Drosophila melanogaster: one gene and its partners. The protein of the gene in region 1 binds, or shares a complex with, the protein of each later gene. Each region holds a gene or a part of one and is shown in the gene's direction. Other genes may lie near its edges.

Region 1 (10,485 bases):
CATGGAGGGCAGCATGCTCGTCACCTTGGCCAGCACATCATCGACCAGCCGCCGGTCGAGAATGCCATTCAGTCGAGCCGCCCTCTCCACCATGCCCTGTATACTGGCGCTCGAACGGCTCAGCAGGTTCCGCAGGTCGAGCACTAGGTCATGACTCCGGCTGGACGTGGACGTGGACTTGGACAACCGGGCAGCTCCCGCGCTCCCGTGCAGCTTGGTTCGATTAACGGAGTAGTAGTGCGGCTTTCTGCTGAAGTTGCCTAGGTACAGGTAGGGCTGTCACATCACATCACACGCAGTTCCCCGATTCCAAGTGTTGGGTGGTAGAAATGGAGCAGTCAGGTGGGCGAATGAATGTATTGTCATCGGGCAGCACTTACCACGGAGTGTGTGGTGGTGGAAAACATTGCCAAAACTACAAATTTCAATAAATTACAAGGGCAGGCTCAGGATCGCGGCCAGCAGACGACACAGCTGTAACTTTACTTGACAGCGAAAATGTCATAATCTCGTCGCGTCGTGCGCGTTGCATCCCTGGTTCTGGTGGTGCGCGACTTTCCACCTCTTATCAAAGCACGCGTTCTCCAATTACTGGCAATTTTCAAAAGTGTATTCGTTTGTCGACTGGTGGTTTTGATTTTATTCGATTTTTAATTTGGTTTATATATCTAAACTGCCTCTCCGTACAGTCAACGCTGCTGATAGTGTTGCTAAACTTACATAAATATATAAAATTTTGTATAAATAAAATGAATGATAATCAGCGCAAACTTTGCATTCTATAAAATGTGATTTGTTTACTACTAAGATCAAATGAAAGTCTATTCCAAATTTTACTTATATTGACAACAAATTCCATTGTATCAACTGTAAATGAATGTTGTCTTTGTTATTTAGTTTTAACTTCTTAAAGAAAAAGGTTTTTAACCAGTTTAGGATAGACAAAGAGTCCCTATCGCAACCATCGTGCATAGATCGACCATCACTAGTTCTGGAGATGTGCAGAAGTCACTGGCCCGTTTCGCCGGCGACCAGGGTTGGCAAATCGGCTGCGCCGGTAGTTGGTCCGTTATACATTTCACAAATTCCACATTAAATTGTATCAGCATGGACTCCCCGCTGAACGATGGCTCTCACCATCCACCGCCGCACGCTCCCCACCCCCTGGTGAGTGCTCTACGGTCCTTAAACTGCCACTACCCAAACGTTTGCATCTATTTCAGGCGGACTATCAGTTTTCTGCGGAGGAGGTGAAGGCGTTACGTGAGTGCAACACTGAGTCTTTCTTCCAGCGCAGCCTGCCTTTCGGCACTGGACTGGGCCTGCTGGCCTACTTCGGCGTCAAGAACGGCTATTTGCAGGGACACGTCAAGTACGGCGCCGTGCCCAAGGTCGTGATGGGCGTCATTCTGGGCTACTTTGTGGGCAAGTTCAGTTACCAGCAGAAGTGTGCCGAGAAGATCATGCGCCTACCCAACTCCCATCTGGGCGAGCTGCTGCGTCAGCGTAGACAGGGCGGCGGTGTCATCAGCTCCATCACACCGGACGAGAATCTGGGCAGGGCCTTCACTCTGGCCCCCTTCTCGCCGAGCTCGGCGGACGTGTACAGCGATGAGGCGTATCAGCCCGGGAGGAGCACTTCTCTCAATCTGGACACGGAATCGCGCCCTACTTTGTCCGGCCTTGACGACATCTACCGCCCCACCCTGGACTGTAAGCTCATCTAATTCTTCGCATTCCCTATTATGATTCTGTACATTCTCCTTCCCAGCAGCTGGTTCAATGCTGGAGGCAGAGTTGCCCTTGGAGCCGTCTAAGCCGGGCCAGTCTTACGAGGACCTGCGACGAAGGAACCGAGAAGAGTATTCGAAGCACCAGCAGAGTCCATACTCGCGACCTTACGAACCACCAGTTGCCGTTCAACAGCGACCCGTGGAGCAGGCACAAAGTGAACCCGCTGGAAGGAAGAACCAATACGGCGACTCCTGGACTGATTAAGGTATTGTTATTTTGTTGGACATTAAACGCGCATAAAGTTCTGTGAAAATTCGTTGTCTATTTACATTTTTTTTTGGGGTTGGAATATTCAATTACTTTCTAGCCTGGTCGTAGTTTTCTATGTACCACTTAACCGAGGCGTTGATTGCCGTTTCCAAGTCCGTAAATGCGTAGTCTGGCAGGAAGGAGCGAAGCTTGGCATTAGACGCAGTCTTTTTGTACTGTCCATCCGACTTGCTCGTATCACAGACCAGTCTTCCCTGGAATAAATCAAGTTAATATCTTGCCTTGTCTCAAATTTCGCTTTTTAACCCACATTAAAATTAAATGCTTTTGCAACGGCTTGGGCCACCTCGAAGATCGTCACCTCCTGCACTTCGTCCGCGCTTAGGATGATGGGCTCCACACTTTCGTAGTTCCTGAGCACCCAGATCATCAGCTCCGCCAGGTCCCGGGAGTATACAAACTGCCGTAGTGGCATGCCGCTTCCGAAAACGGTGAACACCTTGTCGTTTTCGGGGACGTCAGTCTTCTCCGTAACCAGCTGGTGCATCCTATAGATCATGCCCGGAATAACGTGGCTGACCTCTGGATTATAGTTGTCGTGGGGACCGAATATGTTGCACGGAATGACCGAGGTGTACACCCGGCCATATTTATCGTGGTAGGCGTGGTTCTGCACGTCTATCAGTCGCTTTGCGTAGGAGTAACCATAATTGGAGGGGTGCGGCGGCCCATTGTGCACCATGGTCTCATCTATGGGGTAGCTGGTTTTGTCCGGAAAAATGCATGTGGACAGGCAGGACACCACCTTCACGCATCCCTGCTCGTGTGCCGTTTGCAGGACATTGTCGTTAATGAGCAGGTTGTTGCGCTAAAAGTGGATTCGCATGAAATGGGTTTTGGAATCATCTGTGAGACCAGGAGCTCACCAAGAAGTCCAGGTTGTTGTTCATGTTGTGGAACAGGCCTCCGACCATTGCAGCCAGATGGATGACATGCGTGGGCTTCTCTCGGGCGAAGAGTGCCTGCGTGGCGGCCAGATTTCTGTGGAGAGAATTTGTTTACGGATACGTTCAATTGAATTTCTTCATGACTTACGTCAAATCTGCATCTTTAGAGCCCGCAAAAAACCATTGCTCGTCCTCTGGGGACTGCTCCTTGATCACAGCCTCCAGGGCCTTGCCCACCAGCCCAGTTCCGCCTGTAACCAGAACTTTCTTCATGATTTTTGTGCGATTCCACAAATCAAGTCAATTAGTTTCTAAAGTAATTTTCGACTCAATGCGACCAGCTGCTTTAAATGCCGGCTAATCAGTCAGTGCTGCCTGCCTGGCGTTTTTAATCTAATCCTTTAGCTATTTCTTGTTATCAGAAAAAGCCACTTTTAGATTCTTTACTAAGCCCCATTTGGTCACACTGTGCCCAGGTAGTTTTTGTTTATGCGGTGTCGGATATGCGAAAAATAATTTAAATGGATATGGAAACGCAAGTTATAGACACCGTTAACGAGTTTCTGGTAATAGTGAAACCCTGCGTCTCCAAAAAATCACCCACTCATCCACGCTCTCCATTTCGCAGAAGGTCGACTCCCTTGACGAGGCGTTCGTTAGCGTCATTGTATTCAAGCCAAACACCGAGCAAGAACGAGCTACCCGCTTCGCCAATGATTTGGGTAGGTAAATGCGTCTGCTGGAACTCGAAAATTGTTAAAAACTATCTGTTTCAGTTACCGCCTTTGGGAACGTGGCGCAGGAGAACCGGGAGCAGGTGCTTCGGCTCTACCTGTTGCGTGCCGCCGGTGCCTCCGGATATCACATCAAAGTGCTGATGGCGGCACTGGTGAAGCTGGTGGACGCACACGTGATCACCGCCAGGATGCTGTGCGACAAGGTGCTGATGTGCGAGAAACTGGACTTCGAGCACAGGACCTTCTGGATCGAGAGCTTCCGGCTGATCAAGCGTGTGATCGTCCAGGTGGACTACAAGGGTGTGCGCGAGATCATGAAGGTATGCCGCGACAAGGCACAATGGTTTCCGCTGAACGTCAACGTTACCTACATGCCACAGCTACTGGCCGTTGAGGATATCCTGCGATTCATCTTTGATCGCAACAATTGCCTGCTGCCCGCCTACTTTATTGCCAACGAGATTATGCGTCCGTTTCCTTACCACTGGAAACTCAACCGGCTGATGACCGACTTTGTCGAAGAGTTCCGCACCACGGCACAAATGGTTTCGATCATTGGACATGCCAGCATGCTTCCCATCGTAGAGCATTTCGGCTATGCCGATCACATGATGAACTCCTGGCGACTGGACCACAATACCCTGAAGTTTAACTTTAAGGGTAGCCTGCCCTACGAGCCAGAGCTGCTCGAAGAGCAGAAGCCCCTACTCCGCTACGTTTTGGAGCAGCCGTACTCAAGGGAAATGGTCTCTCAAATGCTGAACCTGCAAAAGCATCAGAAGCAGCGCTACAATGCCCTGGAAGAGCAGTTGGTTAATCTCATAGTGCAGGCCATGGAGATGACGGAGGCGAATGATGCCACTGCGGGAAGTGGCTTTAACTCCTCAGACGAGCAGATCACGCCCTACGAGTGGATGTGGCTGCATCTCTCTTCGCAACTAATTTACTTTGTGCTCTTTCAGTTCGTAAGCTTTATGCACATAGTGTTGGCGCTCCACGAAAAGGTAGGTCCATGGTGGATGAAATTAATATTTCTTGTAATTAACTACTTTTCACCTATAGCTTTCCAAGTTGGAGCTTCGCAAGGGTCGCGATCAACTTATGTGGATTCTGTTGCAGTTTATATCCGGAAGCATACAGAAAAATCCTGTAAGATCCTGTTCTCCACCTGATTGATCTTATTTTTAATCGCTTTTAATTTTAGATCACCAATTTCCTGCCTGTGTTCAGATTGTTTGACCTACTATATCCCGAGCTAGAGCCTCTTAAGCTGCCAGATATCAATAAATCCTCGATGGTTCGCCATATGGCACCCATTTGCGTTTGGATTCACCTGATGAAGAAGGCACGAGTGGAAAACATGAACATCACCAGACCATTGCCAATTGCACTGAAAAACCACTACGAGTAATACCTCTAACTTCCTTTGGTGTTTAGATACTAACTGCTTAATTCCCAGCTTTCTGCAGCACCTAGTCACGGCTAACACCATGATGAACATGACGCTAGGAAACGACTTCCGCATAATTCTCATCTGCAATGCATACTCAACGAATCAGGAGTACTTCGGGCGTCCCATGGGTCTACTGCTGGATGCCCTAAATGGCACTTCAAAATCTCCAAACGGTGGCCAAATCCCAGCCGTAACTTTTTCGGTCACGGTTCTGGACAGCTTGACGGTGCACAGTAAGATGTCGTTAATCCACAGCTTCGTAACTCAGATGTTAAAACAGGCCCAAAGCAAGGGTCAAGTTCCAGCGGCTGCACTACTGGAAACTTATGCCAGACTTCTGGTTTATACAGAAATCGAGTCGCTCGGTATAAAGGGATTCCTGAGTAAGTACAGCCTGTTGAAGTGATTAAACAATATGTTTATGGTTTTTTTTCCTCCTAAAGGCCAACTGATGCCAACAGTGTTTAAGAACCATGCGTGGGCCATGCTGCACACCTTAATGGAGATGTTTTCGTACCGGCTGCACCATGTTCCTACTCACTACCGGGTCCAATTGCTGTCTCTCCTTCATTCTCTGTCCTCCGTGCCGCAGACAAACAAGATGCAGCTCAATCTCTGGTTAGTTATACGTTTATCGAGTATAGACTTCTTTCTAAGTTCTTCCCTTTGTATAGTTTTGAATCTACTGCACTGCGTCTGATCACCAGCATTGGATCCGCCGAGTTTCAGCCGCAGTTTTCGCGTTACTTTAACGACAAATCTCCCGGAGCAGTGGCGTCTAATGAGAGCGAAGAGCTAAACAGAGTACTTATTCTTACGCTAGCTCGATCCATGCACGTACATGGTGGCGGCGATGAAATGCAGGGATGGTGCAAGGACTTCCTTTCCAACATCATTCAGCACACGCCGCACTCGTGGCCCATGCATTCCCTAGCCTGCTTTCCGCCCGCCTTAAACGAGTACTTTACGCAGAACAACCAACCTCCGGAGAACAAGCAGCAGTTGAAGAAGGCCGTGGAAGAGGAATATCGAACCTGGACGTCGATGACCAACGAGAATGACATAATTGCGCACTTCTTGCGTCCAACTACGAATCCTTTATTCCTTTGCCTTCTGTTCAAAATAATTTGGGAGACGGAGAACATAAGCCCAGTGGCTTACAAGTGCGTAACATTATGATTTAAACACAATCATTTTTTCTGACCATACCTTTTTTTTTAGAATTTTGGAGGGTATAAGCGCGAGAGCCTTGTCCACTCATCTGCGTAAATTTTGTGACTACTTGGTGGCTGAGGTAGCTAGCTCATCGGATGGCCGCGACTTTATTCACAAGTGCGTCGACACCATTAACAACATGATTTGGAAGTTCAACGTTGTGACCATCGATAGGGTTGTGCTTTGCCTGGCTCTGCGAACGCACGAGGGTAACGAGGCTCAAGTCTGCTTTCTCATAATTCAGCTGCTCTTGCTGAAAGCCAGCGAGCTGAGAAATCGTGTTCAGGAGTTCTGCAAGGACAATAATCCTGATCACTGGAAGCAGAGCAACTGGTAAGTTGGACACTTGATTTTGTTAAGAGCACAAAGGCATAGTTGTTATTATTTCTCAGGCAGGACAAACACTTGTCATTCCATCAAAAGTATCCAGAGAAGTTCGCGTTGGACGAGTCAGCTTCACAGATTCCGCTGCCCGTGTACTTCAGCAATGTCTGTCTGCGATTCCTTCCCGTTCTGGATGTGGTAGTGCACAGATTTATCGAACTTACCATTACAAATGTCCACCAGATATTGGGCTTCATTTTGGATCATCTGAGCATACTCTACAAGTTTCACGGTATGTTAAAAGTGGCTTTCGAGAATTTCATAACTTTAAATTACCCTTTAAATTGCAGATCGACCTATAACATATCTGTACAACACCCTCCATTATTATGAGCGAATCTTACGAGACCGCCCTGCGCTAAAGAAGAAACTTGTAAGATTTGTTATGAATATTATATTCCCTTCTTCTAATACACTGTGTTGTTCCAGGTTGGCGCTATCACCAGCGCCTTTAGCGAGATTCGGCCGCCCAACTGGAGTGTTAGTGAGCCGTACAAGGTGTATTTGCAAAGCCAAGACTCGCTGTGGACCCCCGAATTGAGCTACTATATGAGTTTGATCAGGAGACTTGCAGACAGTAAGCTAGGATTTGGGAAAATACTATGATGTGTTCATATATTCATGCGTAACCCCTTTTATTTTGCAGCAATTAGTGGGAAGAATGTATTTTACTCCACCGATTGGCGTTTTAACGAGTTCCCGAATGCGCCAACCCATGCGCTCTATGTGACATGCGTGGAGCTGCTGGGTCTGCCGGTGGCACCGCCACTGGTGGCCAGCAATCTCATCGATGTTATAGTAAGCGGATATGCGGTTATTCCGCAAAAGGACATTCACAGCTACATTAATGCTGTGGGCATTGTTCTGGCTGCCTTGCCTGAGCCCTACTGGAGCGGCATATACGATCGCCTACAGGATATGCTCAACACACCCAATATGCTGAACTGGACCTACAGATTCAATGCTTTCGAGTTGTTTAACTTCAAGACAGTGCGTGAGGCGATGCTAGAAAAGACCTACGCCGTGGTGTTGGCAGTAGCTCACTCAGTGTTCCATCACATGGGCGCCTTTAAGCTGGCGGCAATGACCAGGTACCTCAAGGAGAAGCTAAAGCCGTGCGTGCGAACCGAACAACAATTGCTGTATTTGTGCCACGTTTTTGGCCCCTTCCTGCAACGAATAGAGTTGGAAAAACCGAACGCTGTGGCTGGCATAGCCGTGTTGCTTTACGAAATTCTTGAGATCGTGGACAAGCATCATGGTCCGAAGCCTCTGCAGTACATGGACCAGATCTGCGATTTCCTGTAAGCAAATCCACAAAATCGCATGAAAGGGTACTAAACAAATGTGTTTGTATCATTTCAGCTATCACATTAAGTATATACATGTGGGTAATATCATTAAGAACGAATCGGAAGCCATCATTAAGCGGCTACGGCCCCTGCTGCAAATGCGCCTGAGGTTCATAACCCACCTTAACTTGGAGGATATTCACACTGAAAAGATGTAAGGGCCATTTAATTCAAACTCTACTTCGGTTTAAACATAACTTTTCCAATTTCAGCAACGACAATACCAGCAATAATGCAATAACCAGCCAAACGCAGTCTCCAATGCAAACACAGCATCAGCAGCAGCCGCAGCAACCACATCAGCAACAACAGCAGCAACAACAACAGCAACAGCAGCAGCAGCAGCAGCAACAGCAGCAACAACAGATGCAGCAGCAACAAATCAACGCAGTACAAACAACCAGCGTTCCCTTGGGCAGCGGTGGCAACCTACAGCAGCAGCAGCAAATCAACCAGCAGCAACAAATGTATATGCAGCACATGCAGCAGCATCAGCACATGCAAAACATGCGCCACAATTAGACTTTGTGGGACTCCCAAGTCAGTTCAAGCTGACATAACGACATAAGCCTAATTTATAGTAGTATTATCTTATATTTTATCGCTTATTGCATTATTCATTTTCCATTGAATGTGTAAACAGTTCTCAGATATGTTTAAGTTAGATACTAAGGGAACTTTTTGTAAGTCACAGCTGTCGGCCCAAGTCCTCCCTCCAGCTTTACAATCAAAAGCTTGACTTAATAAGCCCAGCTTAAAGCTCTTCGTAGATAACCTGTAGTTGGTGATCTTGTCCACCTCGAGCGCCGTTCTCAGTTGTGATCGCAGAGCACTGCGATGTATGCGCTTCCGGGAATCCAGATTCTGTTGCTGATTGCTTCAGTCAGCGTGGTGACCGAGTACTGCGACAATGGAACGGGCGAGTGCAAGGAGCTGACGCCCTCCGACTGTCCAGTGATATTCTACAACCAGCACCTGATCGGAGCCGAAGTCAAGTACTGCGACGAGTTCAACGACATTGTCTGCTGTCCCATACCGCTGGATCACCAGAATCTGAAGCCAGCCGAACAGACGAGGCCTTTTGAGAAGCGTGAGGAGTGACTGCAACAATTCCCTTCGATTGATGGAATTTGAATATTCGTTTTTTTTTTTTAGAGTGCAAGCAATACAACGAGGTCAGATCCGCCTGCCAGTCCACGCCCTTCATCGTGGGCGGCACAAAGGCATCCGGTAAAGAGTTTCCCTTCATGGCCCTAATCGGCACTCATCGGCCCAACAAGTCCAAGTCGGACATCAATTGGGATTGTGGTGGATCCGTGGTGCATCCCAAATTCGTACTGACTGCGGCGCATTGCCTGGAGACGGATGAGTAAGTATTCTCTGGGATTCTCTTGAGTGATACTCCTTCCATATGTGTACTTTTAATTGTCAGATCGAAGGCCGAGCGACTGGACCCAAACTTTGATTCGCCCAAATTTGTAGTTCGCCTGGGGGAGCTGGACTACAACAGCACCACCGATGATGCTCTGGTTCAGGACTTTCGGGTGGTCAACTATGTGGTGCACCCTGGATATGATACTGAAGACGAAGAGCAGGGCTTTAAAAACGATATTGCCCTGGTGGAACTGGATCGGAAGGCTGAGTTCAACGACCATGTGGCAGCGGTATGCCTTCCGCCAGACAGCGGCAACGATGTTCAGCAGGTCACAGCCGCCGGCTGGGGATTTACCGCGGACGGTGTGAAGTCCTCGCACCTGCTGAAGGTCAACCTCCAGCGATTCAGTGACGAGGTGTGCCAGAAGCGCCTGCGTTTCAGCATCGATACACGCACCCAGTTCTGTGCCGGCTCAATGTCCAGCCAAGCGGACACCTGCAACGGTGACTCCGGCGGACCTATATTCGTCCAGCATCCGCTCTATCCGTGCCTGAAGCAGGTCATAGGGATTGTCTCATATGGATTAGTTTGTGGCTCCCAAGGACTCCCGAGTGTCTATACCAAAGTCCACCTCTACACCGACTGGATCGAGAGCATCGTGTGGGGCAATTGACAGTTAGGAGTCGTAATATAACAAAAAAAGGATAGTTTAAAAAATAAAAATATTTCAAATAAATCAAATTACCTTGAAATGTTTATGATTTCAAAGCATATCAGCGACGTTGGGGCCCTGAAACCTCGGCGTTGCCAGATCCGGAGAGAAATTATCGCAGAGCAGAGTAAACAAAATGTATGATTTTAAATTTGAAGCAGTCTTGTTTTTCTTTAATTTTTTTTAGGTAAATTTTCGAAATTGCTCTTCTAAGCCAAAGCCTATATTCCAATTGCAAGGCTATTTTATAATTTTGCCTAATGACCAATAATGTAGCATAATTTATTTATAATAAAATCCAAAACA
Region 2 (5,757 bases), on another chromosome or scaffold:
GCGAATGCGAAGGACGGGCAACTTCAATTTCTCTGCCATGAACTTGAAAGAACGAACGAACGAATTTCTCCAACTTGGCTGAGTGCCTGCGGTGTTCCTGGTGGCCAGGATGGTTGGCATTGGTATGGGATATGGGGGCGAATTTAACGGAAAAGTGCAACGAACTGCCATTCCAATCATTAAGCTGGGTGTGTCCTCCGCTCGGGAACCATAAATTGATATAAGTTATGCAAGGCGTAAGGGAAGTTTAAGGTCTGTTTTGATTGCAAAATGGAATTCATGGATGCAGAGAATCTACTCCATGGACGGCCAGCTTATCGAAATACCTCCTTCTTTATGATCCTTTGTCGCGTGTTTAATATTAGCAGGGTATCGCATTATTTTCAATTAAAAAACATTTTCTCTGGAGTTGCTTAAAATTTTTAATGATCCAGATGTTGCTCTCGAGTTTATGTGTAATTTTAATAAATATTAACTATTAAACTTTTACAACGAGCAGAGAACCCAGAGCCATGAAACTTTACGTTACGCTTGTGAAATTCAAACAAACCAGTTATTTTATTGAATATGGCTGCTGTCTGCAGTCGAATAAAACTTTCATCGCTCTAATTAAAAGTTCTAAGCTAGTCGATAAAGTGAAGCCAAAACCTAATTGCCATGAAGTCGAGCTCATCGTGTGTTTGTTTTGCTTTACTTACCCATTGCAGGCACCTCGAGGAATTGCTAGACGGGTCCATTAGCAGTCAATCAGCCGCAGAGAAGAGCCAGCAAAAGATACAGATACAGGCGGAGCAAAAGATACAGGATGCACGAGAGACAAGTGAAGAAGTGAGTAGCGCGGATGGGCCACTTAACGGCTAATACAGCGGCGATAACATTTGCGATCCAATTACAGGTTGAAGGGCAGCCATTATGTGGCCACGCACGGTCGCCTCACTCCGGATCCGCCCTACGTCCACTCGAACCGCGGCTATTCCACCGACGGCGATGAGACCCACTCCCACCGGGCGCCCTCGGAGCGCACCTATTCGGAGTACACGTTGACCCACGAGCGCATCTCGCCGCAGTACAATGGTTCGCGCAAGAAGCGCTCCTCATCCTCGAATGGAAACCATCAGCATCAGCACCTGCAGAGCAGCTACAGCCACAGTCAGATGGGCCTCTCCAGTTCGCCGGACAACGGAGGACCTCGCTCCCTCAGCGGACCGCCGCCCACGCGCCAGCCACCGCGTGCTCCGTCCGCCCTGAGCTATGACCAGGCTGGTGACGCCGGCAGCGACATCTATGTGACCAGTGCCGCCTACAAGGCGCCCTCCGAGATCAGGTGCGTTGTTACAACTATATAGCATATAACCCATATCTAAACTATCTATCATCCATTACAGTCGCTACAGTCAGCGTCCAGTGTCGCGAGGAGCTCCACGGAGTGTTTACTCCGTGGCCAGTACGGCCAAAACCGGACGCAGTGCGCGCTCGACGACTCGGCGAGGCGCCAAAGTGGAAACCATGTCCGCGCCGAATCCATTTTGCCCCAATGTCAAGGGCGTGTGCTGTCTGATGCTGTTGCTCAACTTGGGCCTGATCCTGGTGACGCTAGGATTCGTCATTGTGGTGCAGTTCTATGAGCCACTGTACGTGTGGATACTGGGAATTGTGTTCCTGGTCTTCGGCTTCCTCACGCTAATCGGCTGCATGATCTACTGTGTGTACGTGTTCCGGGATGCGAAGACGCCATCGCAGGTGCGCAACGAGGATCTCTACTGGACGCGGCACTGGCAGAAGAATATCGGATACACGCCGCAGGAGATCAACTACAAGGCGGACAAGTACGATGCCTACTCGGATCGCTATTCGGTTAGCAAGCTGAGTGGCAAATACTCGGATCGCGAGAGCCAGCGATACTGATTGTTATGCATATGTACATATGTATGTATGTACATACATATGCGGTTTGATGAAAGGGGATCCTTTGGGCGGAGAAGAAATATGAATAGCCACATATAAACCACTTATATCTTAACTAATTGTAAGACTATCTACTAGTTCTAAACGGTTATTAACAAGGCCCCTCCAACGTACCTGCTGCAAGTTGCTTGCTGGTTTGTATGTTTTAAGAGTGAAACTGACGGGAGACGCGAACGCGAGGATGCAACAGAGTATTGTAATCTGCCATATTTGAGAAGGTTTGTTAGGTTTGATTTGGCTAATCAACAGAAGAGTTTTATGCTAAAATTGTAACTGCAATTGTAACACACGAGAAATAAACAAGCAAATAATACCTACTAGAGATAACGCTGCGAATTTGTTTTATTTTTGAACAGTCTCTTCTACTCTTTGCTTTTGAGTACTTGATTCCCTTTTTTTTGAGTGTATGAAATAACCCATGTGGCAACTCCTATTAGTCTGGCAACCTCTCTGTTACGGTATTTTTACAACGTGGTATTAACAGCGCTCCGGAATACTATACGGTATATTTCAGCAATCGAAGAACGGCCACATTGCGGTGTGGAAAATAAACAAATTGCAATTATTGCTTAGCACAAACGATTTGCCGTGATAATGTCGTTTCATTTGAGCACAAAAGAGCGCCTTCTGCTCCTGATCGACGACATTGAGATGATTGCCAAGGAGTTGATCGAGCAGGCGCACCAGAAGATCTCCAGCACCGAATTGGTGGACCTGTTGGATTTGCTGGTGGCCAAAGATGAGGAATTTCGCAAAATGCTGGAACTGGCGGAGGAGCAGGCGAAAGTGGAGGAGGCGATGGACCAACTGCGCGCTAAGGTCGAGGTGCACGTAAGTAGAAGTTTTGCATTCCCCAAAAATAAGGTATAATCTGGATTTTCCCGCTTAGGACCGTGAGATCCAGAAGCTGCAAAAGTCGCTAAAGGATGCGGAGCTCATACTGTCCACGGCCATCTTCCAAGCGCGACAGAAACTGGCCAGCATCAATCAGGCCAACAAACGACCGGTTTCATCCGAGGAGCTCATCAAATACGCACATCGGATTAGCTCCGCCAATGCGGTCAGTGCTCCGCTCACCTGGTGCATAGGTGACCTGCGGCGTCCCTATCCCACGGACATTGAGATGCGCAACGGGCTGCTGGGTAAATCCGAGCAGAACATCAACGGCGGAACAGTGACCCACCAGAACAGCGGCATGCCCTCGGAGCAGCAGCGAACGCTGTCCGGTAGCGCAGGAAGTGGGAGTGGCAGTGGCGCCGGCGGCGAGGTGCCCAATGCCTTCCAGAACCAGTTTAACTGGAATCTCGGAGAGCTGCACATGACCATGGGCGCCTCTGGGAACACAGTGGCCCTGGAGACGCGCGCCCAGGACGATGTGGAGGTCATGTCCACGGATAGCTCAAGCTCCAGTTCCAGCGATTCGCAGTAGAATTGGATAAAAAACTATAACTAAATCTCGTTTAAGCTAGTAGTATTAGGTATTTAATAAAAGCGCGCTGTAAGGAAGTCTAGTTATGTATATATTTGAGTAGCTGGGATACATATCTAATTTTATGACCTTCTTTAATGATATTAATTTACAATTTAAATTGGCATTTAAAAAAATGCAAAGTTATGTATCAGTGGAAACAGCTTATAATAGCTTCGTGTCAAGAGCTTGGTACTTTTGCGCTAGTGCGATACGGTCCTCCTCAACCATATAAACAATCGATTGGCAGGGTCGCGTGCAATCGATACTTTGACAGCTCGCAATTATTTTAGCTTTGGTTTTTCAAATAAAATGGAATGCAACGCGTATGCAGCGTGTTTCAAGTAGCTAAAATGTGGCCAAGGTGTAGTCCAGTGTCGCCGCCAATCGCAGATCAGCCCCGTGTGCGTCTTTAACGAGAGATAAGCCCCGAAAACGATAGTAGAAAACCGACCCCCCGTTCGCAGTGTGTGTGTACAGAGGGCGAAGCGAAGCGAAGGCTCGACTCAAACCAATTGCAATATCAAATATAAAGAAAAAGTGGAAGTGGAAGGTGGAGTGGAGTGGAGGCCAGGGAGCGAGAGACACCGCCATCGCCACTTGCATCGCCGCATCCGCAATCGGGTTACATACGACACTCACATACCACACAGCCAGCCAGCACACAGGCCAAACTTTTACTTTTTCCCATTCGATATTGTTGGAAAAAATTTGGCCAAAAGAAAACAATTCGAATACAAATACAAACAGAAGAGTGTACGAGTGGGGGGCGACATGATAGTTTGTTTGAGTTCTACACACTGCATGTTTGAATTATTGTAAAGCCCTGAAGTACAGTGAACGTACATCTCATAGAGCGCCCCTAGAAAGTCGCACATACCGCCCAGACATGATGATTCAAGAGCCCGTGCAGGTAAATCAATAGCTCCTCGGTCCACCTGGCCTCTATAAAAAACCAAATTTTCTCCCTTCTTTTTTTTCGCTCCCAAAGGCCGCCATATGGCATTGCCTGAACTACTACGACTTCAAGGATGCCGTTTTCCTGTCGGAACGCCTGTGCTCAGAAGGTATAGGTCAAGGTCTCGTTTGTCTGACCGGGTATATCACTGATTTTCTCTTTCACCGTGTCCTTGCAGTGGAGAGCGACGAGACGATATTCCTGCTGGCCACCAGCTACTTCCGCTCCAATCAGGTGCACCAGGCATATTGGCTGCTCAAGGAGAAGGCACGCCGCTCGCCGCAGTGCCGCTTTCTGCAGGCCAAATGTGCCTACGAGCTGAAAAAATACGCTGAGGCGGAGAGTGCCCTGATCTCCACGGGATTCGCGGACGCCAAGAACTGCGATGAGCTGCAGCGGGACTTCGGGGATCTGGCCTGCTTCGCCTATCAGCTAATGGCCCAGATCTGCATGAGGACCGAGCGCAATAAACTGGCCGTTAGTGCTTTAAGGCGCGCCCTCAAACTGAACCCCTTCATGTGGCACGCATTCGCGGATCTGTGCCTGCTGGGCCAGGATACAGATGCGGCGGCCATATTCCAAATCCACAGCACAGATGTGTTCAATACCTGCCAGGGCAGCAGCGTAAATGCCAATGCAATGGTGCTGTTCGGAGCCGAGCAGCAGGGTCAACAGCATCAGGAGCGCCAGTCGCTGATCACCAACCTAAGCAATGTCTCCAACTACATTCTGACCACGCCCGTGGATCAGCAGCAACAACAGATCAACCAGAATCAGAACCAGCACCACAACAGCAACATGGTGACGCCCATCAACAATAATAATAATAACAACAATCTCAATAGTTCGATCAGCATGCTGCGCGGGGGTTTGGTACAAAACTCCAGCATGCTGGCGATGCTGGAGGACACACCTATGGGAGCTCCGCAGGACCCGGCCGGCCAGTATCAGCAGAACCAGCAGCTCTACGACATGAGCAGCGGTACTCCGTTTCGCAAACAGTTCAAATACCTATCGGCCATCTCACCGCCAACACCGAGCTTCGGCATCATGCCTTTAACTAGTCCGTGCACCGGCAACGATGGATCCTTCATTGGCAACCACACGCCCGTTATGAATATAAGCTATTCGCCGATGCCACAGATGTTGGTCGAGGTCAACCAGGAGCCGAAGATGATGGGCAAAAAGCTAAAGACACATGTGGGCGGACTCATCAATCGCAAAGAGGGCAGCCTTAATAAACCCGCCGTCTTTACGCAAGCCGGAAACATAACGCCCCGCACTCCGAACAACAATAATGTGGGCAACAATGGCAATATGAATGTGCCGCCCAATCCGAATGCTGCAGTGCGTCGCAGTTCGCGGC
Region 3 (5,696 bases), 2.6 Mb from region 1:
CGATCGATGCTCCACTGCGCCATTTTGCCGAATCGATCCGAGAGCGTCAGCCGCGTAGTAGCCGAGAATGTGGGCAACGTGCCGACCTCGTCGCTGTCCGAGCCGTTCGAATCGTCCGAGTCCGAGGAGGAGTTTGCCGCGTTAGCTCCGGTGCCACTGGACGTCCCGCTCGGATGTTTTTTGCGTTTCTCACCTTCAATTTTAATGCGTGGCCTCACCTGATGGAAAATAATATATATGGATTGTTATATTTGGTTTCAAATTTATTTTGACTCTTAGCTTCGGACAATGCTTACCTCCTTTTCCTTCTTCTTCTTTTTTGCCTGTGTTGTAGGTGCTGCAGCTGGCGCTGACGCCGGCTCTGGTGGCTCTGGCGGGCGGTGCTTAAGACGCGGATCTTCCGGCGGAGGCGAATGGCGCGAGGACCGCGCGATCTTCATGTGGGTGTCCGACGAGGCGACACGTTCATGCCCGATGTGACGCATCTTCGCCTGGCGATACTTCTCCATGGCGGAAACCGAACTGCCTCCACCTCCGCGCACGGGCGGTGGAGTGGTGGGGCGACCATGGATACGGCCATGTGATTCCGACGGAGGGGGCGGAGGCGCCCCCGAACGATAATGGCCACGTGGCTTGGGTGGCGGCGAGCGCGGACCGCGGGATCTTTAAGATGGAAAAAAAAAAGTTTAATAGGAACAAAGAAAACACATTTCATATATCAATACTTACCGAGATCTGTGACGATGACTGGGTGAGCAGAGGGAGCAGGAATCATCGGAGCTGGTGCTCATAGAGCTGTTTGATCGCGAACGCATCGAGTGCTGCAAAGGGACACGGATATATGTATAAATGGTATGGTTCTCACTGACAGAATAATATGTATCACTATCTGGTTGAAAACTCACCCTCGGTGGTGGCGATGGCGGTCGCTTGGAGCGCGGCAGGATATGGGCGACTGGACCTCGCTTCTCCATTGCCGACGACGAGGGCGGAGGAAGCGGTGGAGACCGGCGACGTCCGAGCGGAGAACGCGACGCGTTTGGCTTGCGTCGCAACGACGAGGACGACGAGCCACCACTGGGTTCCGGCGGTGATCGGGGCCTTCCGCCGTGGCCGTTTCCGGGTCGACGCATGAGGGCATCGTGGCTATTGTTGGGCGATCGTGGCATTGGCGGCGAGCGAGGTCCACCACGGCGATCCATGCCACTGTGCATAGCCATGGGCGGTGAACGACGACGCGGAGGTGGTGAAAGCGGTGGCGATTTGCGCAAACGCGACCGACTGCGTGAGTGCGGCGAACGAGAGCGTCCGTAACGCTGCGACGGAGGCGGTGGACCTGGCGGCGGTCCACCTGTGGGCGGATAACGACCGTAGGGCGGTGCTCCACCCTCACGACCTTCGCGACCGTCGCGTTCGCTCTCTCCAGAGCTGCTCTCCCCCTGGATGTACATCTTCTTGTAGCCCGTGTGGCGCCATCGGTTTGGATCCTTCTCCTCTGCCTCGATCAGCTTCTTGTCCCAATAATCGTTGGTGGTGTTGGCGCGCGCCTTCTTCATCACGTTGTCGATCTCGCGTCGCTTTCCAGCGGGTAATGAGGGATCTGCAAGGTTGAGAGGTAAAAGGTAAGCTTCGATTGGCAGGGTGGTGGGCGGTGCTTTGTTCCGGGAAGCCCCTAAGACGGGCTGATGGGTTTATGGGCCCTTAGACATCGCTAATCCCGGCGAGGTAATTGGGTTTTCCCACTTCTATGCAGTTGCTTGCTGGTAGTTGGTAGAAGTTTCAGTTCAGGTACCTGTTATGCGGGCAGCTGTCGGCTGCCTGTCCATGTGCAGTTTTGGATTCAGTTCGGCGCGCCTGCGCGACGCCATCGCGAGATTTCGGATTTCTATCGCTTTGGCAACTATGTATATGTATATATATCGCGCGACAGATATATGTATGTATGTACTCGGGTTTCAATGTTTATTACCCCCAATCGGTTAGGGTTTGGTTTACTGTTTCGGATTCGGTTTGGCGAACGCGACAACACACTTTACCATTTCAAAAACATACACAACAAGCTGCAAATATATTACAATTGAATATAGAAACATGTAAAGAGAGCATTAGAAATGGCTAACACAAAGCAACAACAATATCAGGAGCGGAGTTATACAGAATGGGAATAGAGCGGAGAGACCTGAAAACGCAGAGAGAATCGCGGACGCGCTCCGGCTGTCATTTAACCCATATCACGCCGCGGGGGTCGGGGACCTGTGGTCCCAATCAAAATCGTGCGAGAGAGCCGATTTTTAATCGGCTTGCGCGTATATCTTTTCACATATGCATTTTGAATTTCTTCCATTTTTCACACATACACTCACACCAGCACCAATATATTTGCCTTGTCAGCACGAGAGGAATGCAGAGCGAGACAGAGAGAGAGTGTGAGGCAAAAGTTGGCGATACTCCCGACGGCAGCAACTAAATTTCGAATTTCAGCTCTGGCAATTATGTAAACGATGTAAAACAGGCACTAAAATAATTTGCTTACATTTGGCGACGTTTGCGGGCACGCTTTACGATATTTCGTGAGCTGTTAACGTTTTATTGGCAAATGAAAAACACGGCGTTGCGTTCACTTCAATTTTTCTCGACGGCCATGTTGGTAGTATCGATATGCCGGGGCACAATCGATGGCTTGGCTTCAATAGTCTAAGGACTGTTCAGAGTCTGATGAACTCGAGTCAGTTTATATATTTTAATAATAAATATTGTGTTATTTCAAGAGGCGCTCGTAGTTGAAAACACTATTCGTTTTGGGAATGTTTTATATATTAGACTATTTAAATCATATCATATTGTTTTGACATTATTTTAAGTATGCATTAACGATTCTGCTAATTATTGCAAAAATAAAAGTTATTAGTTCTATTTAAATTAAAACAGAAACAAATAATAACGATCAATTATTAGTTATTGGTGAGCATTAATTCATTTTTTATTGTTCAGTTTCCTTAATTGACCATATGATTTTAATTTTAGGATCTGAATGTAGTGTGGACGCCAGTTTGCTGCTATCGCAAACGTTATCGATAGTACGGTGTTGCAGTATTTTATTACACCCGACTAACAAATGATAATAAGCAGATCCACGGTCACACTTTCCACTTTGTGTCCATCCGACTGAAGTTAAAAATAATAGTTTAATTGGGAGTTTCCAAAATGCAGCGCGACGAAAAGCTTTTTGAGCTGACGCTGGATACGGTCCTTCAGCGTCTGAACGACCTGAAGCTGGCGGTTCTCTCGATGATCCAAAAACTTGAGCTAGAGTACGAGACCATCAACTGGCCGACTTTCCTGGACAACTTTGCCATTATCTCAAGTCACTTGACGGGATTGACGAAAATCTTGGCAAAGGAGCAGTGTCCGCCGCTAAGAAATCGAACGGTCCTGCCCCTTCTGGTCTCCATGGACCGGGATGACACCCTCATCAACATCACAGAGGGTCGGGTGCCAGTCTTTTCACACGACATTGTTCCAGACTATTTGAGAACTCGGCCGGATCCGATTACGGAACAGAAAATGCTGCAGAACGAACAGAAGGCGGCGAACCTCACCAACGACGCTGCCATGAAACAGGTCACTCAATACAACAAGGTCGTCTCCCACGTCCTGGATATGGTCAGCAAAGCGCGCGAGGAGTGGGAAATCGAGAGCTCTTCGCGCACCGGCATCCAGCAGACGAGTAGCATGGCCGACACACAGCTCCTGGTGGCCGCCGTGGGTATGGGAAAAGGACTCAAGCTGACCAACTATGGACCCGGACCTGGCATGATGGTACCGCCTTCAATTCGAGCACCCTCGCCAATGGGTGGACCCGCTATGAGTCCCGGCAACGTGCAGCAGCAGCTGGGAAAGGCGCCATCGGCTGTGAAAACAAACATCAAGTCCGCAAATCAAGTGCATCCGTTCTCTCGATAAAAAACATCAGTTTATTAGCTATTATCGGTTCCATCTGGCGGAATGTTTCGTCGTAATAAGTTATATGTATATTCCTAATTCTAAAACTAGGATTACGCAAACATAAACATGAACAAATTTAAATGGATCGTCTCCTCCGACTCAGACTTCTTATGTTGCTGGCTGTGCGTGCTTCTCATTGATGAGAATCTCGTGCAGCTTAATATCTTTCGGCGTGGAGGTGTCCACCAGCTCCAGGCACAGCGCTCGTCCGCCATCCTTTTGTTTAGTCATTCGCCGCACAATGCCAATAAACTTCTGACCCAGCGACAGTTCCCGGAATCGGACGCAGTTCTCCTTGCTCCATACTACATCAGTCAGTTGTATGCCTGAAAGAAGATCGTTTTTAGTTCTAACGCCAAACTGCTGAAGTTCTCTTGAACTTGCCATAAAGTTGTGCTGGCAATGCCATCTTGGGCAGCTTTCTTAACTCCGGATTTAGAGTTTTCAGTTGATCACAGGCAATTACTCCATCGTCGCCCACGTCGACGAAACGCACGTGTATAATCTCATCGTAAATCTTGTGAATACTTACGCTGCAAGATTAACAGATTTAGTCTGCGTTTTTATTGCAAGACCTGAATAAGTTCTTACCGATGATATACGCCTTCGGAGTCAGGGGCAGCGTAGGCCTCTCCAATGGCCAGTTGTGAAGGCTGCACTCCCTTGGCTGCCGTCTTTTGGCAATGCTCTTGTAAATTCTTCATCAAAGTCTGCAGCTGGTTATAGTATTTGTACGGTTGCACCTGCGGAAGAATCGCACATCATAATCGGAGTCATTAATTTGCTGATGATTGACTTACCGCAAAGTGACCGGGATTGACGGAGAGGGCAACGCGCACCTCGAAATAGGCACCCACTGCCGGAATAGCCTCGTAATCCTTGAGCATGAGAGACGAAAAGGTGCTGCCGGTCGATCTTGCGGATGGTTTCTTCTCTGGCGTCACCGGGGGAGTGGTAGCGACAAGGTCGCTGCTGCTGCTCTGATTCGAGAACACGGAGCTGAAGCTACCGCGTCTGGGCAGCTGGACATTGGAGCTCAGGAGCGTATGATCATACTTCTCCGGATGAATGGAGCTGTGTGGGTGGGGAATCAAGGGTGGGGCGGGAACAAGCCAGATTGGGGGATTGGGAGGCAATTGTTGGTTTCAAGGTTTAAAAAATCTGATTGCTTTCGGGCTTATTGGGTAGTAAAGTACATATGTGTGGCAGCTTAAGAGTATATTTTTCAGATTATATACAAAGATGTGCATGATTTTAGGGTAAGCTTACAAAACGTAGATCGAATTTGTGTTAGCAATAACATATCAAGTCAGTTCCGGTTTATTGAAGCACTTATAGAGATAGCATTAAGCAAAGGATCAATTATATTGTTAATATAAACTTATAGGGCACCAGTCACAATTCAGATGTCGTTGTTTAGGGAGCTTGATGACGATGTGATTAGATGACATTGACCATAATGATATAGAATGAATAGACATTGTACAAAAGCTTCAATAAAGGCACTTACCTAGCCATCTCGAGCTCCAGGCGAAGGCCAATGTTCACGCACATATACATGGACTCCGGATCCTCGCGGATGAATACGTTTACCAGAGGCTTACCACCATCCATGGCCACAACCTTCAGCTGCGGGAGAAAATGGTGTTACGGATTCGACAAGCTTTCAAAACATCCCTTTCATATAAAAC
Region 4 (10,314 bases), on another chromosome or scaffold:
TGACACGGTCATGCCCTTGGAGTTCTTAAGCGTGTACCGGCGCACCATTTCGGGCGACTTGGTGAACGGATTCACGGCCAAGCCGAAGATTTCCTCCTCTAGGGTAATCGACATCTCGGCGCGTCTCGGTGTCGTTCCTTCCCCTTGAAACGGCTGACAGCAACTGCCTGGGTATCAGGCATACTCCGATCCGGCACACCTCTGTTATTATGAATTGCCAAAGTCGTTCGGGTCGCGAGCTTCTCCCTCAAAGTCAAACCGGGCAATCAGCTTGTCAGAAGTCGATTGCCCATCCCCCGCATTTTACCGCCCACAATAATGAGAGATAAGCTGTCCTGTAATCGCCACTTGACTGGAATTTAGAATAGTTTTTCAGGGGCGCGACTTTCTCGAGAGCTCATAAAACAGAAAAAGCTTTTTGTTTGTTGTTGTTTGCTTGTTTGCGGCGAGTGTTTGCATTGTATCTGTATAGTATGTCTATAATCATTTTTCGCCACTTAAGTTGATAGCAGTACTTTTGTATGTTGTATGATTATATTTAAGAATATTTAACAGAAAAAATCAGTTAACGGGTTTTTCTTTCATGTTTTCAATCTTTCGGCTTATATATGTACTATACTTACGCACCCCACTCACTGTGCTTTTCGTCACTACGAAGACTTCTGTGTACAGCGATTGATCAAGTTTAATCCTTTGGGCTAAAGAACTACATCATGGTTCTACTTAATCGTCTGACATAATGGGTTATAAAATATCTCATGTGCTGGCCCCCAAATACATCTTTTAGATGATTTGTAGTTTCCATGATCAATAATTATTTATGCAATAAAAATCGAAACGCGATTTTTAGAATTATTTAATTTGATAAATATTTTATTTAGCAATATTTACATTTTTGAGCAAGAGCTGTGCCATCAATATAAGTTTGTATGTACATTTTCATTAAACAAAATAAATGCGGCCCGTTCTCACAGGAGCTAGTACTTGTTAATGTTGAACAGCCGCACGCCGTGGAACTGCGGCAGCTTGGGAAGCGTGACGACCACCAGGGATATAAAGTTTGGGATAAAGTGTTCCGTGTTGTTTCGGGTGTACAGACAGGTAAGTAGGAAACTATAAAAAAATCAATTATTTCATGAGTTTCTATGTTAGGCATTATATGGTAGCAATTACATTACTAGTTCAATTAAACTGCAGTACATAAAAAGTATTTATTGAAATACTTTGATCAACATTAAAACAAGTTTAGAATTTAAGTCTTCATTTAGTTTTAATTTTTTTAAATAAAAACCCACCTATATTGGCCGACTTTCAGTACGTATTCACTTACAGAACAATGGGAACAGCTGTGAGGAACTTGCGCGTTGTGGTCATCTGTACCCCGTCATCGATCTGTTCCCAGTGCGTCCAACGCCGGCTGGGATCGTTCTCCGTGCTCAGCCAGGGAGCGCCCTTGATGACGTGCAGAAAGTACAGGTGGGCCTGGCAAGAGGGATTAGGATAAGGACTGACTCCTCAACGGCGCCATGAGCACTCACTGCATTGTGAAGCAGGTTGGTAGCCGTCCAGGCCCATGGAATGCTAACGAAGGGCACTGATAAGAAGAGCAGGTGCACCGACAGCAGGCCCAGGAGGTATGCTAGCCAAAATCCCCGGGCACTCAGCCAGGAGCTGTTTGGATTCGCCTCGCCGTGGCCTCCCGCAATGGACGTCATGTGGCTGAATTGTTAACCTTTGGTTCCGAAACACTTTAATAACAAATATTTATCATTTACGCTCAATGTGACCGCGCATGCATACAAATATCGCTCTGCACTTTGATGATAATAAATATACCAAAATAATTTAGAGAAAACAGAAATTTGAAATACTTTAAATGTTTAATAAAATTTGAATTTAAGCTTTTGCAATTTTCTATGAAATATAACATCTACCTTTAGTAAAGGTTATGACTACTTTTGATTTGTCGGACCAAACCTATATTCAATATAATCCGTATATCTGTCGTAGTTTAGGTAAGTACGAGGAAGAGAGGAACGCTTAAGACTTATCATGAATTTAGCGAAATAAAATTTGTTTAAGTCGTAAGCTGTATTTGTTTACTTATTTGATTAGTCCTTAAAGTTTTTTTTAGCTGATATTTATTTTTATAGGATTATAGTTTCTTTCAAATCTCAAGAAACTTTAAATAATCATTTTCGGTTTCTTGGAACAGAAACCCCAAATTAAACTTTATGCCAATAAGACATTTAGAAATCATTGGAAATTTTAAATAAATATTAAATCATCGGTATTAAATTATGAGGCCTGTAATTTATTTTTTAACGAAAGAATGTTTGAGCTTTTCTGTTCATTACAATACCCTTGTAGCTTAAGAGAAAATTCGAGTAGGAAATGAGGCACAATTACATCATAAAAAATAGAATGTAAAAGTACCAGAAGGATGTATAGAATATAGATGTTAATTGCTTCATTATATTTACCCCTCATACTAAAAAATATAACATACATAATTGAACAGGCAATTGATACAAGCTTTGAATCAGAATACATCGAATATCAAATGACGCAGTGGAAATATCATAGTTCCGTTTTATATTCCAGTATTTTATTATAGCGTGACCAGCCACTGTGAAGGATCAGCCATTTTGTTGTTTTGGCGTTGAAATTTTTTTGCCATGATGAAGGCATAGAAAAAAGGTTCTGAGCTATTTAGATCGAGAACTTTTTCATTTGCCGCAATTCTTTGTCAAAAATGCCACAGCATCATTAAGTAAATACAGTTTACTTAGGAACGCATAGATATGAGCGGATCCAATGCAAAGTCCTCGGGGACTGGTAAGTACTAATATATACCCCCATAACTAAGATGTCCGGAGCACCACTGACACAAATCTGCACAGGCTTCGGCAGCCACATTCCCAGCATCGAGGAAAAGAACAAGCAGATCCAGCAGGAAACCATGATGGAGAAGCTGCGGGCCAAGTACCGGAACAAGCCAAAGAGCTACGAGGAGATCAAGAAGTCGGTGCGTATGTACTTTATCGAGAAGCACTACCCTCTGGACCCCCTGTGCAAGGCCACGCTGCAGTCGGCGCTGGACAAGTTGCAGCACTACATCAAGGTCACGTCACGCCACGGCCTTGTGGAGCGTTTGGAGAGCCTCTCGCGCCAGTTGGGCCTCAAGTTCATGGAGGACCAGCAGCTTCTCTTCATATCAACGGACATGTTCTACGTAGAGATCCTGCTGGACGCCGCCGGCAGTCTGTCGGACGTCAAGGTGCACCACGAGTGCAAGATCGAGCAACAGTCCAGCGAGCTAGTGGCCTGCCTCAAGTCTGGCGACTTTGCAGACTTTACGGTTCAACTCGAGGGTCTGTCCTCCATTTACCAGCTGAATGCCGAGCCCAAGGTGAAAAAGAAGGCGTTTGTAGCGCTTCAGGCCATGGAGACGGATATCCAGAGCCTATACCAACTGCACCTGCAAGGTCACTCCGGAGACAGCTACTCACTTATGACAAGTTCATCGGTGGGTCTTGTGCTGCCCCGTCGCGGTGGCCATCCTATGAGGCTTACTTATTTCTGCCCGCCGCTCCACCTTCCCGAAGGGGATCCCAAACTGGCCAGCGGCGATTTCACCATCGACCAGGTAATGCGAAGCAGCTACGGACTGAGTGCCACTATCAATCTCGAAGGCTCATCAGCCAACAAACTGCAGACTTTGCCAACGGTGACTTTGGTCCGCGATGCCCAAACGGGGTTGGAGGTTCCCACCTATGCCCAACTTAACCAGAACAACTCGCTGCTGATGCCGGCCACGTTTGTGCTTCGGCTGAACAAACCCATGCCTGTTTGCCTGGAATCACTAAAGGCTCTCGGTCTGCCCGGTCTAGACTCAGTTGCCACTCCTCCTGGTCCGCCCACCACAGTGCTTAATCTCATAGTACAAACTGCATCGAAGCAGGCCATTAAGAACACACAGCGCGGCCTGTATGTGAATTTACCTAAAGAGACGCACTGCTATTTCTTTACCGACAACCGCAAACTGCAGGGAACTCTGGTGTCATCACTGCCCTTCACTGAACCCGCCCAGGTTCCGCGAATCGTGGCGTTCCTCAAGAAACAAGCTCTCTTCTACACCCTGCTCGCAAGCTGTGTTCGTGAGCAGCAGAAGCAGTATAATGGTGAGTTGGGTGCTCCACTTCCCCCCACATTCCTGTTTTATGATAATAATATTTTTTTTATGCTCATTCGTCCCAGATATGGACAGCACTGTGATACTGGAGGTAACCGCCGTTTCATTTAATCAAATCACGGTTGAGCTGCAGCACCCGTACGAAGAGTCGCTGGCCACTGTGGATTTTCTGCTTGAGGATGGTCAGCCCACGTGCAGCGTTTACTGTCTGACCAACGAATACGAGCTGCTGTCCCAGAAGTTAACCCGCACCGCGCGCAAAGTGGTATCCATTCCGATGGTAATCTACAAGTTGCTTAAGTGCTGGGATGAGGAGCACGAATTCAAACTGCATGGCGCGATTGGACCTGGATCTGGTTCTGGAGCAATCGGAGGTGGAGGCATGAGTGGTGGTGGACCTGTCTCAGGAGTAGGCAATAACTTTAGCCAGTTTTCAATGGATACGCCGACGCCTTCCGATGGAAGCCTACCCGGAGGTGGCTTCGCCAACATTAACAACCTTAAAATGGATGCGAAGTCGCGATCTCTAGCGGATGCTTTTGCCGCTTCTACTTCGGCAGCAGCGGCCATAGCGGGTTTGATCAATCTTAAGCGGGAAACCGATCCACAGTCTGGTAGTTCGGCCAGTGGCACCACGGTCAGCGGCAGCTCCAGCTCATCCGGCTCCGCCAAGACGAGTGACCATGACATTGCTGACAAGTACAAAAATATCTGGAAGGACAAGACTCCAAATTTGAAGCATTGCGTCAGCATCACCCCCATCCCAGGAGATGGAAAGTCTGGATCAGCTGGGGGAGTGTCCGGGGTCGAGGTACAGCGAACGGGTGGTATCGAAATTATTCCATTGAATGCCCAGGCGGCTATAGCCGGAGGAGGTGTTACAGCCTCATCCAGTGCCACTCCCACGACTATAACTATTACCCCAATAACTGGCAAGGATCCCAGTAAGGACTCAACCAAAAAAAGTACCGCTGCTTCAGCTGGAGTAGGTGTGGCCGCAAAGCGTCCCCACGAAAGTAGCACAAGTAGTTCGTCTACGTCCGGTTGTAGTGGTTCTGGCAGCTCCATGTCGTCTTCAGCCAGCAGCGGCTCTTCAGATACGCAGAAGGAAAAGAAGCGCAAGAAAAAGCGCGACGATTCGCCCATGGGACCGCCGGAGAAGATCTATTCTAGGCAAAACTCGCCTGCAGGTGGCGCAGATGCTTCCGCAACTGGTGGAGTGGTTCGCAAGTTTTCCTCTCCCTCGTCGTCACCCAAAGCTGGTGGCGGTGGACAGGGTCTAATGGCCGGAGTGCCGACTGCCCGTCCCAGCCCCAAGCACTCTCCCGTGTATAGCAGTCCCAAGCACAACACCGCCTCCAACAGCCCGAAGTCGCCGTTTGGCACACACTCACCCAAACACGGCTCTTCCGGAAAGCCGAGCATGTCAACGCTTAAAAGTGCAGCTACAGCTGCCACCATCTTAAGTCCCAAGGGCGATAAGTCCTCGTCAGCTGTGGGTAACACATCTTCGGGACCATCCGCCTCCTCAGGATCCAGCGGAGCTACTGGCCTGGTGAGGTCATTTGCCAGCGTTGGAGCTCCGCCTCCACCACCTCCAATTCCTCCATTAGCGAGCTCGAGCGGATCTATCAGCAGCAGCCAGAGTTTAAAGAAGGAGAAAACCTCTTCGGCATCCGGTTCCAGTTCCACATCATCCTCGGCAACTGCAGGTGTCGCATCTGGCGGAGGTATTTCACCGGCAAGTGTGGCTGCTGCAGTAGCTGCCCTGAAATCCTCACAACAGCAGATGAAGTCAGTCGCCAGTCTTTCGCATCTGGCGGCGGGCGGGGGACTGGGTAGCTATGCGGCCCCGTCGGGAGCGGGAGCATCTGGTGCAGCCGCAGTGGTGGTGGGAGCAGGAGCTGGCGCTGGAGCGGGGGCCTCCGGACTGGAGCTGAGTGCCCTGCGCAAGGGCATGGCGGGAGGTGCGGTAAGTCCGTTTTCATTATAAGTGCTCCACTCCACACCACACCAACCCACCCCCAGCATCTCCCACTGGAAGCCTAACACGTAGTTGACTCTCTGCCACCTCTCCTAACCAATGCAGAATCAAACTCAGAGCGAACCTATCTTTAAACTAATGCAAATGCTGTATTTACTTTAGCTATAAAACGATTTGTAATTTGCCTACCTCTGCTGTAGTTGAAAATGATTATATTTAGTACTATGATTATTATTTTTGTTAGTGTTTCGTTTTGCCTTTTCTAATTTTTGTAAATACATATGATTCAATTATTTGTCATATATACTGCTGCATCCGTTTTATTTTCGACCAAACCCAAAACTCGTATGGTAATGGGGCTTATCCCCAAAACACCAGCTTAAACCTCTTTTTCTGCATTGAGAACGTATGTTTTTATTATTAGTTAATCTGTTTGATTTGTATAGTTGTTTGGCCAGCATGTGGCATGTAGAAAACCATGGCGTACTGGTTCACCAAGTTTATAGTGTCTACAGTATTGCTGGATTTATAAGAATGTGTATGCATATGACTTTTAAGCTTTGTTAAGAACATCAGTAAATAATGTGTAAATTAGTAGTGCTTGGCATCTTGACTCTACGAGTATTATAATTTGATTGTTTCCCCTTTTCTAGATTTAGTTACAAGAGTTCCTTCTCACTTAAATATTTACTACGTTTAAAATTAGTGTTTAATGTGCTTATGATGTACACTTTGAAAGTAGCTCCACAAGCGTTTGCCTCATACATTTTCTCCTCAAAAATATATTTCGTATCCGACTTAACTATAAAGCTAATTATTAACGGGGTCCATTCTTCTTTCTTCCTGTTTGTATTCCCTTCCTACACTACCAATGGTTGTGAAATCCCACAATTTTTTCTTTTGCTACACGTGATGTTCCCCTTTTTGATTGTTATAATTTCTTTTCTGGTTTATTTTTGGTTTCTTTGGTCCCTAACACACACACAACCACATGCTTACTTTGTCAGGTTAGTTTGATGACGTCGACGGCAGCTTTAGCGCCAACAATTCCGGCACCAACAACAACAGTGGCAGCGGGCTCGGCAGCGTCATTGGTGTCTCCAGTCTCAGCGGTAGTGGGTCAGGGGCAGGAAACAGCGGGAGCAGCGGCAGCAGCAACGCTGGCAACAGCAACAATTCTGCAGCAGCAGCCACAGCCGGGAGCAGCGCCAACTAGTAGCTGCTTAACCACCAGCGGGGGCAGCAGCGACTCCGCCGGGAGCATCAATCCGGCCGGAGCCTCCACGGAATACATGGTGAAGCCCAGCAGCCAAGAGGGCCTCAAGCTGACCATCAACAAGACGGGAAGCAGCAAGAGCTCCGGCACCGGCTCCGGCTCTAGTTCCTCCTCTGGCCTCCAAGCGAAGGCAAAGAGCAGCAGCAGCGGCGCCACGAGCTTCGCTGGGTCCACTGGATCCACGAAGAAGCAGCATACCGGACTCAAGCCGGGCGTTAACAGCGGACCCGCTTCCAAGAAGGCCACCGCAGCGGTCTCGTCCGCCACGGCATCATCCAGCAAGCATTTCTTCCAGAAGGCAAACTCCTCGGGCAATCTCAGCAGCAAGCTCAGTGGGTCGGGATCAGGTGGCGGAATTCCGCTGACTAAGAGCAACAGCACTAACTCCTTCCAAGAGCACAATGCCCCCAGGCGGCGTCCCAGCATGGGAGCCTTGGCTAGCGGCAGCAGTGGAGGAGGCAGCGGGCAGCGAAAGTTAGGCTCCGCTTCGGGAGGAGGCAGCGGATCTTCGGGGTCGGTATCGCCGGCCCTTAGCGGCTCAATGTCGCAGCCACCGCCGCGATTCGATCACCACACGGATATGATGACCATCCTCCAATACGCTTCTCCGACAATGGCCGCAAGCATGGAAGGCTTCATCAAGGGGCTCCACAACAAATTCCAGATCCCAAAGTTATCGCAGAGAGGAAGCGGAGGCAATACAACCAGTGGACGCAGCACGCCAAGTGGCAGTTCAGAACCGGCTTTAGCGGGAACATCATCTTCGATATTAGGACCTATTGCCAGCTCTACTGGACTGACGGAGCCGGAAGCGAAGCCGCCGGTGCCTCCTTCGCAGTCTGGCAATGAAGGACTGCTCAATCTTAGCAGCACGGCGGGTACACCATCGGCGGATGGGATAGATGAGGAGCTTTTGGCTAGCCTGGCTGGCGAATGACAGAAGAAAGACAGCCGTCATGAGATATTCCTGTTGCTCTATGCGATTTTCTCTTAAAGCTAGCATAGTGAGTTAGTTTAAAGCCATTAGTTACACGATTTTGTTTTATGATGCATAGAAACTAAGGATCTTATTAGGCAATTTCTTAACTTTATTGGCAGAAAAATGATTTAAAACTCCAAAGGAAATAAATAAAATTTTACAACACGATGGCGAATTTGGTACAAAATCTCAGAGATTATTCCCGATTCTGTTAAGTCGATCAAACCGAAATCACCTTATGCTTTAAAAATGCATTAGGTAAATCTTAAGGAAAGCGATGCGATATGTACGATAAAATCGCTCTAAATATGTTGTAGAGTATAATAAATGTATTCAGTTGGAGATTTTTGGGCTTTGCATATTTATTTAGGTGCGGGCGTACTATTATTTTTTAATTGTTGGTAAATAGCGTTGAAACAGCTCGAAGAAAGTTTTTTTCAAACTCTTGCTCAGAAAACCGTTCCACGGAGGCCCTAAAAGCGAACCAAAATATATTAAAGTGTGCAAACTGTAAATGTTTATCTAGTTACCTGGCTGCGTTTCGAATGCCGTTCATTTCTGAGTTGTTAACAATAATATTTAATATGTTTTCTGCGTATTCAACGGCGTCAGTAGCCAGGAATCCGTTCTGACTTCCCGCGGAAGTTTCGACAATGTCAAGCAAAGGACCCCCTGACTTGTGGGCCACCATTATAAGGCCAGCAGCCATGGACTCGACGATGCCGATGCCAAAATGTTCGTTCCACATAGTGTGAATGCCAATGTGGGCAGTTTGATACAACTTAAGAAGGTCTTCGTAAGGGACATTCACACTAAATTGCACATTGTTTTCTAGCGACAGATGCTTTGTCAGGTCCTGCATGTTTTTCAACCGCTCGTAGTCATCTTCATTTCGGCAGGAGCCCACAATAACCAACTTAATTTGGTTCCAAAGGGCCTCGTCTTGGGCCAAGAGAGTTCGGAGCTCGTATATGGCTTGCAGCTGGAGGGGATGGTCTTTCTCCGGGCGGAACTGTCCGACAGACAGTATGATGAATTCGTCGCCTTTTTCCGTGTGCTGAAGGCTCTTTAGGTGACTAACCTCGCACGGAGGGTAAACCCGGTGTGTTTTGAAGGGCACATCCCACAGTTGCAGAATATGATTCTCGGTCCACGAGGAGTTCACCATGATAGTCTCAGCACAACAGCCAACCCACTTGTACATCTGAAAAAAGGGTAAATTGGTATACAGCTGTGCATTGACTAATTCGAATTTGAACACTCACTCTTGAGAAGAGGCGGTAGTAGGCAAGCTTAGTCCAGGTGAGAAAGGGGTTCCTCGCCACGTACTTCTTGTTGTTGTGCGACATCTGTCGCTGCTGAACCCTCTTCAGCATATCGGTGCTAATAACCGGATAGTGAACATAGCAGCCCACCTTGGACTGGGCCAAGTAGCGGAACAGAGGATACGTAAAGGCGTATCCCATGGTGTCGATGTAGATGTCGGGCGGAAACCTGCAGAGTGCCTCCAGACCCACGACCATCGATCCAATGCTCTGGCCCAGCAGAGTGAAATGAGGATAGTTCTTGGCCTCGATCCAGTGGCGTTGCTTCAGGAAGACGAACTTCACATTGTCACTATCGACGGCAATGTTGAAGACATTCTTGGCCTTTTGCAGTATGGAATTGGGAGAAGCGTCTATGTCGCCTGTGTAGATTACCATCCTGGCGTTCTGGTACTTTTCCTTTTAATTACAATATCAAATATAAAGGATTAGTAAAGTGGCCAGAAAATACAAAACAAGTAGATCAAAATAATTGGCTCTCTAGCTATAGTATTCACATGTAATTTACATACATGGATACCCAAAGGCAAACAGAATGAAAAGTTAGCACCCTGT

Evidence for each region.
Region 2: MED23 (region 1) and MED4 share a complex: the UniProt entries of both Drosophila melanogaster proteins name them as parts of the mediator complex.
Region 3: MED23 (region 1) and MED8 share a complex: the UniProt entries of both Drosophila melanogaster proteins name them as parts of the mediator complex.
Region 4: MED23 (region 1) and MED1 share a complex: the UniProt entries of both Drosophila melanogaster proteins name them as parts of the mediator complex.

The regions. Positions count from the first base shown.
Region 1 is NT_033778.4:22,885,536-22,896,020, forward strand, and holds MED23 (mediator complex subunit 23), read left to right. Parts: upstream 1-3,392; 5' UTR 3,393-3,478; coding exon 3,479-3,517; intron 3,518-3,579; coding exon 3,580-3,673; intron 3,674-3,727; coding exon 3,728-4,692; intron 4,693-4,750; coding exon 4,751-4,837; intron 4,838-4,892; coding exon 4,893-5,095; intron 5,096-5,147; coding exon 5,148-5,524; intron 5,525-5,584; coding exon 5,585-5,759; intron 5,760-5,815; coding exon 5,816-6,304; intron 6,305-6,362; coding exon 6,363-6,689; intron 6,690-6,748; coding exon 6,749-6,972; intron 6,973-7,030; coding exon 7,031-7,113; intron 7,114-7,169; coding exon 7,170-7,317; intron 7,318-7,386; coding exon 7,387-8,044; intron 8,045-8,105; coding exon 8,106-8,246; intron 8,247-8,304; coding exon 8,305-8,614; 3' UTR 8,615-8,890; downstream 8,891-10,485. Other genes in the region: YME1L (YME1 like ATPase), read right to left, coding at 1-276, 381-407; asrij, read left to right, coding at 1,108-1,167, 1,224-1,713, 1,772-1,998; Gmer (GDP-4-keto-6-deoxy-D-mannose 3,5-epimerase/4-reductase), read right to left, coding at 2,091-2,258, 2,315-2,872, 2,931-3,045, 3,100-3,224; CG3700 (uncharacterized protein), read left to right, coding at 8,930-9,182, 9,248-9,461, 9,525-10,140. UniProt on the Drosophila melanogaster protein: Component of the Mediator complex, a coactivator involved in the regulated transcription of nearly all RNA polymerase II-dependent genes.
Region 2 is NT_037436.4:7,247,247-7,253,003, reverse strand, and holds MED4 (mediator complex subunit 4), read left to right. Parts: upstream 1-2,476; 5' UTR 2,477-2,559; coding exon 2,560-2,796; intron 2,797-2,854; coding exon 2,855-3,394; 3' UTR 3,395-3,475; downstream 3,476-5,757. Other genes in the region: CG14830 (uncharacterized protein), read left to right, coding at 806-828, 896-1,324, 1,386-1,905; Cdc27 (cell division cycle 27), read left to right, coding at 4,323-4,346, 4,425-4,500, 4,570-5,757. UniProt on the Drosophila melanogaster protein: Component of the Mediator complex, a coactivator involved in the regulated transcription of nearly all RNA polymerase II-dependent genes.
Region 3 is NT_033778.4:20,324,231-20,329,926, reverse strand, and holds MED8 (mediator complex subunit 8), read left to right. Parts: upstream 1-3,120; 5' UTR 3,121-3,204; coding exon 3,205-3,963; 3' UTR 3,964-4,083; downstream 4,084-5,696. Other genes in the region: CG8929 (uncharacterized protein), read right to left, coding at 1-218, 297-663, 730-821, 906-1,600, 1,793-1,868; tapas, read right to left, coding at 4,114-4,331, 4,390-4,538, 4,597-4,748, 4,806-5,079, 5,516-5,634. UniProt on the Drosophila melanogaster protein: Component of the Mediator complex, a coactivator involved in the regulated transcription of nearly all RNA polymerase II-dependent genes.
Region 4 is NT_037436.4:21,626,786-21,637,099, reverse strand, and holds MED1 (mediator complex subunit 1), read left to right. Parts: upstream 1-2,653; 5' UTR 2,654-2,804; coding exon 2,805-2,838; intron 2,839-2,903; coding exon 2,904-4,184; intron 4,185-4,260; coding exon 4,261-6,167; coding exon of another isoform or gene 6,168-6,188; exon of another isoform or gene 6,189-6,979; intron 6,980-7,186; coding exon 7,187-8,392; 3' UTR 8,393-8,775; downstream 8,776-10,314. Other genes in the region: CG32444 (uncharacterized protein), read right to left, coding at 1-114; ORMDL (orosomucoid 1-like), read right to left, coding at 978-1,113, 1,331-1,482, 1,539-1,715; Alg11 (ALG11, alpha-1,2-mannosyltransferase), read right to left, coding at 8,826-8,907, 8,965-9,638, 9,700-10,158. UniProt on the Drosophila melanogaster protein: Component of the Mediator complex, a coactivator involved in the regulated transcription of nearly all RNA polymerase II-dependent genes.